Callithrix jacchus: one gene and its partner. The protein of the gene in region 1 purifies or fractionates together with the protein of each later gene. This does not show direct contact. Links are inferred from orthologs where the notes say so. Each region holds a gene or a part of one and is shown on either strand. Other genes may lie near its edges.

Evidence for each region. Proteins that work in one complex are often made in the same cells at the same time.
Region 2: the proteins of NOP58 (region 1) and NUFIP1 purify together in Homo sapiens (co-immunoprecipitation; 3 studies listed by BioGRID and IntAct, with this or other methods). This does not show direct contact. The link is inferred for Callithrix jacchus from reciprocal best matches to the Homo sapiens genes NOP58 and NUFIP1.

Annotation. Positions count from the first base shown.
Region 1 is NC_133507.1:123,462,835-123,466,484, forward strand, and holds part of NOP58 (nucleolar protein 58), read left to right. Parts: intron 1-2,223; coding exon 2,224-2,387; intron 2,388-3,650. UniProt on the Homo sapiens protein: Required for the biogenesis of box C/D snoRNAs such as U3, U8 and U14 snoRNAs. Part of the small subunit (SSU) processome, first precursor of the small eukaryotic ribosomal subunit.
Region 2 is NC_133506.1:164,198,118-164,201,867, reverse strand, and holds the start of NUFIP1 (FMR1-interacting protein NUFIP1), read left to right. Parts: upstream 1-1,108; 5' UTR 1,109-1,144; coding exon 1,145-1,559; intron 1,560-3,750. Other genes in the region: GPALPP1 (GPALPP motifs-containing protein 1), read right to left, coding at 838-925. UniProt on the Homo sapiens protein: Binds RNA.

The sequences.
Region 1 (3,650 bases):
TTTATAATAAAGCTTTGTATACATGTATGGCAATATTATAAGGATGACAGGCTCTAATTAAAATGCTATCAGTGTTTAAAATGGCATAACTCTTTTTTTGTTTTTTTGGGTTTTTTTTGGCATGGAGTTTTACTCTGTTGCACTGGCTGGAGTGCTGTGGCACAGTCTCTGCTCACTGCAACCTCTGCCTCCCGGGTTCAAGCAATTCCCCTGCCTCAGCCTCCCAAGTTGCTGGGGTTACAGGCGCCCACCACCATGCCTGGCTAATTTTTGTATTTTTAGTTGAGATGGGGTTTCACTGTGTTGGCCAAGCTGGTCTCAAACTTTTGACCTCAGGTGATCCACCTGCCTCGGCCTTGCAAAGTGCTGGATAAATTACAGGCAGGAGCCACTGCGTGCAGTCTGGCATAATTTCTTTAGCTGCATCATTAATCAGAGGTTTCATTCAAGTGCCTGCAGCTGTAAGATCAGATGATTTCATTTTCTTCACCTGTTTTCATGCATACAGCTAAAGTTGTAGCACTAATCGATGGCAGGGGTTAATAGAAGTATGTATTTGTTGGCTGGGCACCGTGGCTCACACCTGTAATCCCAGTACTTTGGGAGGCCGAGGTGGGTGGATCACCTGAGGTTGGGAATTTGAGACAAGCCTGGCCAACATGTCTCTTACTAATAGCACAAAAATTAGCCGGCCATAGGGGCATTCACCTGTAATCCCAACTACTCAGGAGGCTGAGGCAGGAGAATCTCTTGAACCCAGGAGGCGGAGGTTGCACTGAGCCAAAATTGTGCCATTGCACTCCAGTCTGGGTGACAAGAGTAAAACTCCATCTCAAAAAAAGAAGTATGTATTTGTTGCACTTTAAAAAATATGTCTCATGGTAAAGTTTGTAGCATTAATGGTGAGTGTGCTTTCTGACAGGAAATATTCTATACAACATTTCCAGCTAAGCAGTATGTTGATAACTCACTAGTACAGTAGTCCCCAGCTATCCATGAGGATATATTCTGAGCCCCCCCACCCCCACCCATGGATGTTTGAAACAGAGGATAGTAGTGAACTCTGTGCTGTATATGCTGTTTTTTCCTAAACACACATACGTATGATAAAGTTTAATTTATAAGTTAGATACAGTAGGACATCAACAACAGTAATAATAAAACAATTATGACAATATCCCAGTGTCACTATTTTTCTGCATTGGTTACATGAACATAAGCACTGCAATATTGCACTGTGGAGAGGGCTAGGAAAGTGACTAATGGGTAGATAGGGATAATTCATATTCTCCCTATCTGAATATGGGGACTGAGTGCGGTGGCAAGAGATTTGAAACTTTGGAACTGTTTATTTCTGGAATTTCCTTTTTAATATTTTCAGACTGCAGTTGACCACAGTTAATTGAAACCACAGATAGGGAACTATTAGTATACTTCTAGGAATATATTTTCTTAATCCACAGCTGAATCAACAGAAGTAAATAAGTTGTGAATTTATTATAGGGTTATGCTACCGAGATGTCCTAATAAATGTGTTTGTTTGTAGGCTTTTTCATATCTTTTTGTTTGTTTGTTTTTGAGACGGAGTTTCGCTCTTGTTACCCAGGCTAGAGTGCAATGGCACAATCTTGGCTCACCCCCGCCTCAGCCTCCCGAGTGGCTGGGACTACAGGCGTGCACCACCGTGCCCAGCTAATTTTTGTATTTTTAGTAGAGATGGGGTTTCACCATGTCGACCAGGATGGTCTTGATCTCTTGACCTTGTGATCCACCCGCCTCGGCCTCCCAAAGTGCTGGGATTATAGGCATGAGCCACCGTGCCTGGCCAGGCTTTTTCATATCTAAAGCAATAGAATATTTAATACAATCTCAGAAAATAGGGGCCAGATTAGTGTTCTCGTGTGTGACATATTTGTGTTACTCCTGTAGTATACTAATGGAATATAGAATAGTACTACCATCTCTGGGGTGAATAGAAACATTGAACTAAAAAGCTTAACCTTCAGTTTGCCCTAGGCATTCATCACAAACCTGCTTGTACTGATGAAGGAATTAGAAACGAAACATCAGGCTTTTTAGGGAATTCTGGCTTAAAGAATTCTGTATTATATGTGATTTTTATTTTATTATGGTGGGCATAATAATTCTATAGGTCTTTTGTTTTAGTACATGGAACATTCAGATGTTTGGAAGTGCATTCTTTGTAACTTTCTTCTTTTGTAGGTTCTCTTTTGAATTTGGCCAAGCATGCAGCTTCTACAGTTCAAATTCTTGGAGCAGAAAAGGCACTTTTCAGAGCCCTCAAATCTAGACGGGATACCCCTAAGTATGGTCTCATTTATCATGCTTCACTCGTCGGCCAGACAAGTCCCAAGCACAAAGGAAAGGTGTGTTACATGGTTTTGTTTTTTGAGGTTGGACTTTTTTATTATATAACCACTTTTCTCTATAGTGCATATTAAATCTTCGTATAATCTCTTTCTTGTTAAATAGAGAAAGGTGAGTTATGTAAAAAGCATTTTGTGGTGGGGTACGGTGGCTCACGTTTGTAATCCCAACATTGGGGAGGCTGCGGTGGGTGGATCACCTGAGGTCAGGAGTTTGAGACCAGCCTGACCAACATGGAGAAACCCCATCTCTACTAAAAATAGAAAAATTATCCAGGCATGGTTGTGGGCGCCTATAGTCCCAGCTCCTCGGGAGGCTGAGGCAGGTCACTTGAGATCAGGAGTTGGGCCAGCCTGACCAACAGCTGAAGCCTGGGACTATAGGCACGTGCCACCATGCTCAGCTGTTTTTTGTATTTTTAGTAGAGATGGGGTTTCACCATGTTCACCAGCTCCTGGCTTCATGGTCCACCGCCTTGGCCTCCAAAGTGCTGGGATTACAAGTGTGAGCCACCGTGCCTGGCCTAAATTTGTAATAGCCTTATGAGATATACGTATCTCTGTTTTACTGATGGTGAAACTGAGGCTTAGACAAGTTAAGTACTTTCAGTCTTTTTGAATGATGTGTAGTTTAACAGAACTAAACTGAAATTTGATAAAATCTAGAGTAGAATGGTAGAGGTAATAAAGGGTTCAATAAAATAAACTTAAGAAAAAGAACCACACATATTTAAGATTATTATGGGTTAAAGATGCACTTGTTCTGAATGATCTCAAGGCACAGAACTAATGTCACTGAGTAGAAACTAAAGTTTAAAAATGTTAAAAAAAAGCCAGGCATGGTGGCTTATGCCTATAAATCCCAGCACTTTGAGGGGCCGAGATGGGTGGATCACAAGGTCAAGAGATCGAGACCATCCTGGTCAACATGGTGAAAACCCATCTCTACTAAAAATACAAAAATTAGCTGGGCATGGTGGTGCATGCCTGTAGTCCCAGCCACTCGAGAGGCTGAGGCAGGAGAATTGGTTGAACCCAGGAGACCGAGGTTGCGGTGAGCCGAGATCGCGCCATTGCACTCCAGCCTGGGTAACAAGAGCGAAACTTGGTCTCAAAAAAATAAAATAAAAATGTTTAAAAAAAAAAAAAAGGCCAGGCATAGTGGCACATGCCTGTAATCCAAGCTCTTTGGGAGGTCAGGGAGGCGGATCACAAGGACAGAGTTTGAGACCAGCCTGGACAACGTGGTGAAACTCCATCTCT
Region 2 (3,750 bases), on another chromosome or scaffold:
TGGTATACACGAAGTGCCTGTTGTGTTTTCTGGTACAAGACCATAGCGCATTGGTGGAGAGAGATGTGTCGACAAATTATTCAGATACAAATGTACTAAATACGCAATGTAATTAGGAAAAAACCCGAGGGCAAAAAGAAAGGCGTGACAATGCTTCGGGGAATTTGGAATGGTTTTATTGTGTGACATGTTAGTTGGCCCTTGAAGGATAGGTAGAAGTTTGTTAGTTATGTTTAGAAATGCAACCAGAGGAAGCCCATAAGCCTGGAGCGTTAAGAAACTGCGCAGAAACACAGGCTGGTGGTTTGAGTATTGGGCTGTGTGTGTCAGATGCAATAATAGAATGAGAGGCTAGGAAGGCAGGTCGGGGCTGGAGAGAACAGGATCTGCAAGCTTCTTGTACATCAGAAGGCAAATATGGCACAGAGGTTAGGAGAACCGCTTCCTTCTAAGTCGCGCTCCAGCACTTGCTAGCAGTATGCTGCAGACCCTGGCAATGGGCGTACCCATCTGCAACTTGGGAAAATAGTCTTTTCCTCCTACGGATTAAATGACTGAATGGGTATCAGTCAGTTAGGGCAGCTTGCAGCTCACATTAAGCGCTAAATGAGAATGTACTGTCATTACGAAGATTACCACGCCAAAACTCGGTTTCTAGGAGGGTACCCCAGCCTCTTCCCTACTGCTACCGTTTGGGAAGAAAAGTCCTCTCGGGTCGGGCCGTGCCCACTCCCCACTCCTCCGTCCTCCTAGGCTTCCGACCTTTCTTCAGCGTGCAGGGCCCGGCCAGGGAGGGGGTAGATAGGCCTGGTGGGCTGCGGAGACGCGGCCGCTTACCGGGGCTCGGATCCCGCTCTTCGTCCTCCGCTGTTCCGCGGGCCTTGAAGCCGGGCGGCAGGGCCGGTCCGATCAGGTCCCTTGCCATCCGCAGTGGCGGACACTGGTCACAGATACGAGTCTATCCAGGTACGTCAAACCTATCCCAAAGTAATCCCGCGATCCGCAGAGAAGAATGGAAGGTTTCCCGGCGCCGACTGATGACGTAAAGTCTGTGGTTGGCTGGGCCGCGTGGTTTACGGCAACGGAAGTGACGTCTAATGCTTGCTCCGCAGTCGCGTGCTAGACTCAGGACCCGGCAGAAGGTATGGCTGAGCCGGCTGGTGATTTCGTAAGTCCTGCCGGGTGGCGTGAGTCTCCCGAGCTGACTCCCACGTTAGGGCCTCAGAGCGACACTGCCCTGCGGCGGGACAGCTGGATGCTCTGGACAATGCTGCCGCCGCCACCGCCACCGCTTACGTCTTCGTCTCCCTCAGCCGGGTCAAAGGCTTCCTCTGAGTCGCAGCCCCCCGCGGAGGCCCAGTCTCTCCCCGGGGCGCCGCCCCCCTTCGACGCCCAGATTCTTCCCGGGGCGCAACCCCCCTTCGATGCCCAGTTCCCCCTTGATTCTCAGCCTCAACCCAATGGCCAGCCTTCCTGGAATTTCCACGCTTCCACATCATGGTATTGGAGACAGTCTTCTGATAGATTTTCTCGTCATCAGAAGTCCTTCAATCCTCCAGGTAGGCTATTCCTCCAGGTGGGTCGACCCCTTTACCTTTTTTCCGTTCTTTCCTCTGCACTTTCCGTTTCCTCTCTCCACTCTGCCTTGCCTCTGCACTCTTGGAGTCTGGTCATTAATGTCTCAAAATATGTCTGACTAGAATGTTTCCCTGTTGCCTGTTAATTCCATTTAGCAGTTACTTACTGAATTCAACTATGTATCAGAATCTGGGTATATAGCAGTGAGCAGAACATACAAAAAAAATTCTTGTCTTTGTGGAGCTTAATATTAATATCTCTCGTGTGGGAAGACAGACAATAAGCAAAATAAAATATTGTGCATTAGAAGGTTATGAGTGCAGTGGAGTGAGATAAAGAAGAATGATAGGTAGTATGGGTTTGTTTTTTTTGTTTGTTTGTTGTGGGGGGTAGAGTGTCCCTACGTCTCTCCGGCTGGAGTGAAGAGTAGCGCGAGCTACTTCACTCCAGCTTATGCAACCTCTGCAGAGAGGCTCACTGCAACCACTGCCTCCCGAGTTCAAGCAATTCTCATGCCTCAAACTCCCGAGCTGGGATTATGGGCCCACGCTACCAGGCCCGGCTTATTTTTTATATTTTTAGTAGAGATGGGGTTGCACGGTGTTGGCCAGGCCTTCCTGGATCTCCTGAGTTCCGGCAATCCGCCCTCCTCGCCTCCCAAAGTGTTGGGATTACAGGCGTGAGTCACCTCGCCTGGCCAGGTAGTGCAGTTTTTTTTTTTTTTTTTTCCTGAGACGGAGTTTTGCTCTTGTTACCCAGGCTGGAGTGCAATGGCGCGATCTCGGCTCACCGCAACCTCCGCCTCCTGGGTTCAAGCAATTCTCCTGCCTCAGCCTCCCCATAGGTGGGACTAGAGGCGCGCGCCACCATGCCCAGCTAAGTTTTGTATTTTTAGTAGAGACGGGGTTTCACCATGTTGACCAGGATGGTCTCGATCTCTTGACCTCGTGATCCACCCACCTCGGCCTCCCAAAGTGCTGGGATTATAGGCGTGAGCCATCGCGCCCGGCCTGGTAGTGCAGTTTTAAATGTCATTTTAGTCACAAGGAAGGTGACATATTAGCAAAGACTTCAAGGAGGCGAGGGTTCACAACCATACATACATCTGGGAGAATAGGGGTACAGGCTCAAGGAACTGCAAGTGCAAAGGCCTTAAGGCTTAGAAGCTATACATCAGAATGGGAAGCAGTCTGGCTACAGAGGACTGAGCCTGGAGTGTGGAAGATGGGGGAAGAGGATAAGACCTGGTAGGTCTTCGTAGATTGTGGGACGTTGACTTTTACTGTCGTGAGGTGGATAGTAGAGGGGAGTGACATGATCCGATTTATGCTCTAAGAGGTTTAATGTGTCTGTTGATGGGAATTGACTGAAAGGAAAACTGGTTAGGAGCTATTGTAGTTACTTGTCTGAATGAGAGATATTGGAGACTTGGACCGGGGCGAAGCTCAAGGGATGGTGAGAAGTAGTCAGATTCTGGATCCAGGGATACCTTGGAGCTCTTGGGGGTTCAGTCACAGACCACTGCAGTAAAGCAAGTCAGACACTTTGTTTTTCCCAGTGCATATAAAAATTTTCCTGCAGGTCATATGGGGCAAAAAAGTTATTTTTACATTTTATCATAGTCTGTTAAGCGTGCATATTATTATGTCCAAAAAAAACTTATGTACCTTGATTAAAAAATACTTTAGGCTGGGCAGGATGGCTCACGCCTATAATCTCAGCACTTTATTTATTTTTTGAGGCAGGGTCTCTGTTGCCTAGGCTGGAGTGCAGTGGCGCGATCTTGACTCACTGCAACCTCTGCCTCCCAGGTTCAAGTGATTCTCCTGCCTCAGCCATCCAAGTAGCTGGGATTACAGGTGCCTGCCACCACGCCTGGCAAATTTTTGTATTTTTAGTAGAGATGAGGTTTCACCATGTTGACCAGGCTGATCTTGAACTGCAGTCCTCAAGTAATTCACCCTCCCTGTGAAGGTGCTGGGATTACAAGTGTGAGCCACTGTATCCACCCTCATCTCAGCACTTTGGGAGGCTGAGGCAAGAGGATTGCTTCAGCCTAGGAATCTGAGACCTGTCTGGGCAAGAAAGTAAGACCCCCATCTCTACAAAAAATAAAATTAGCCAGACATGGTGGCATGCCTGTGGGCCCAGCTACATGGAAGGCTGAGGCAG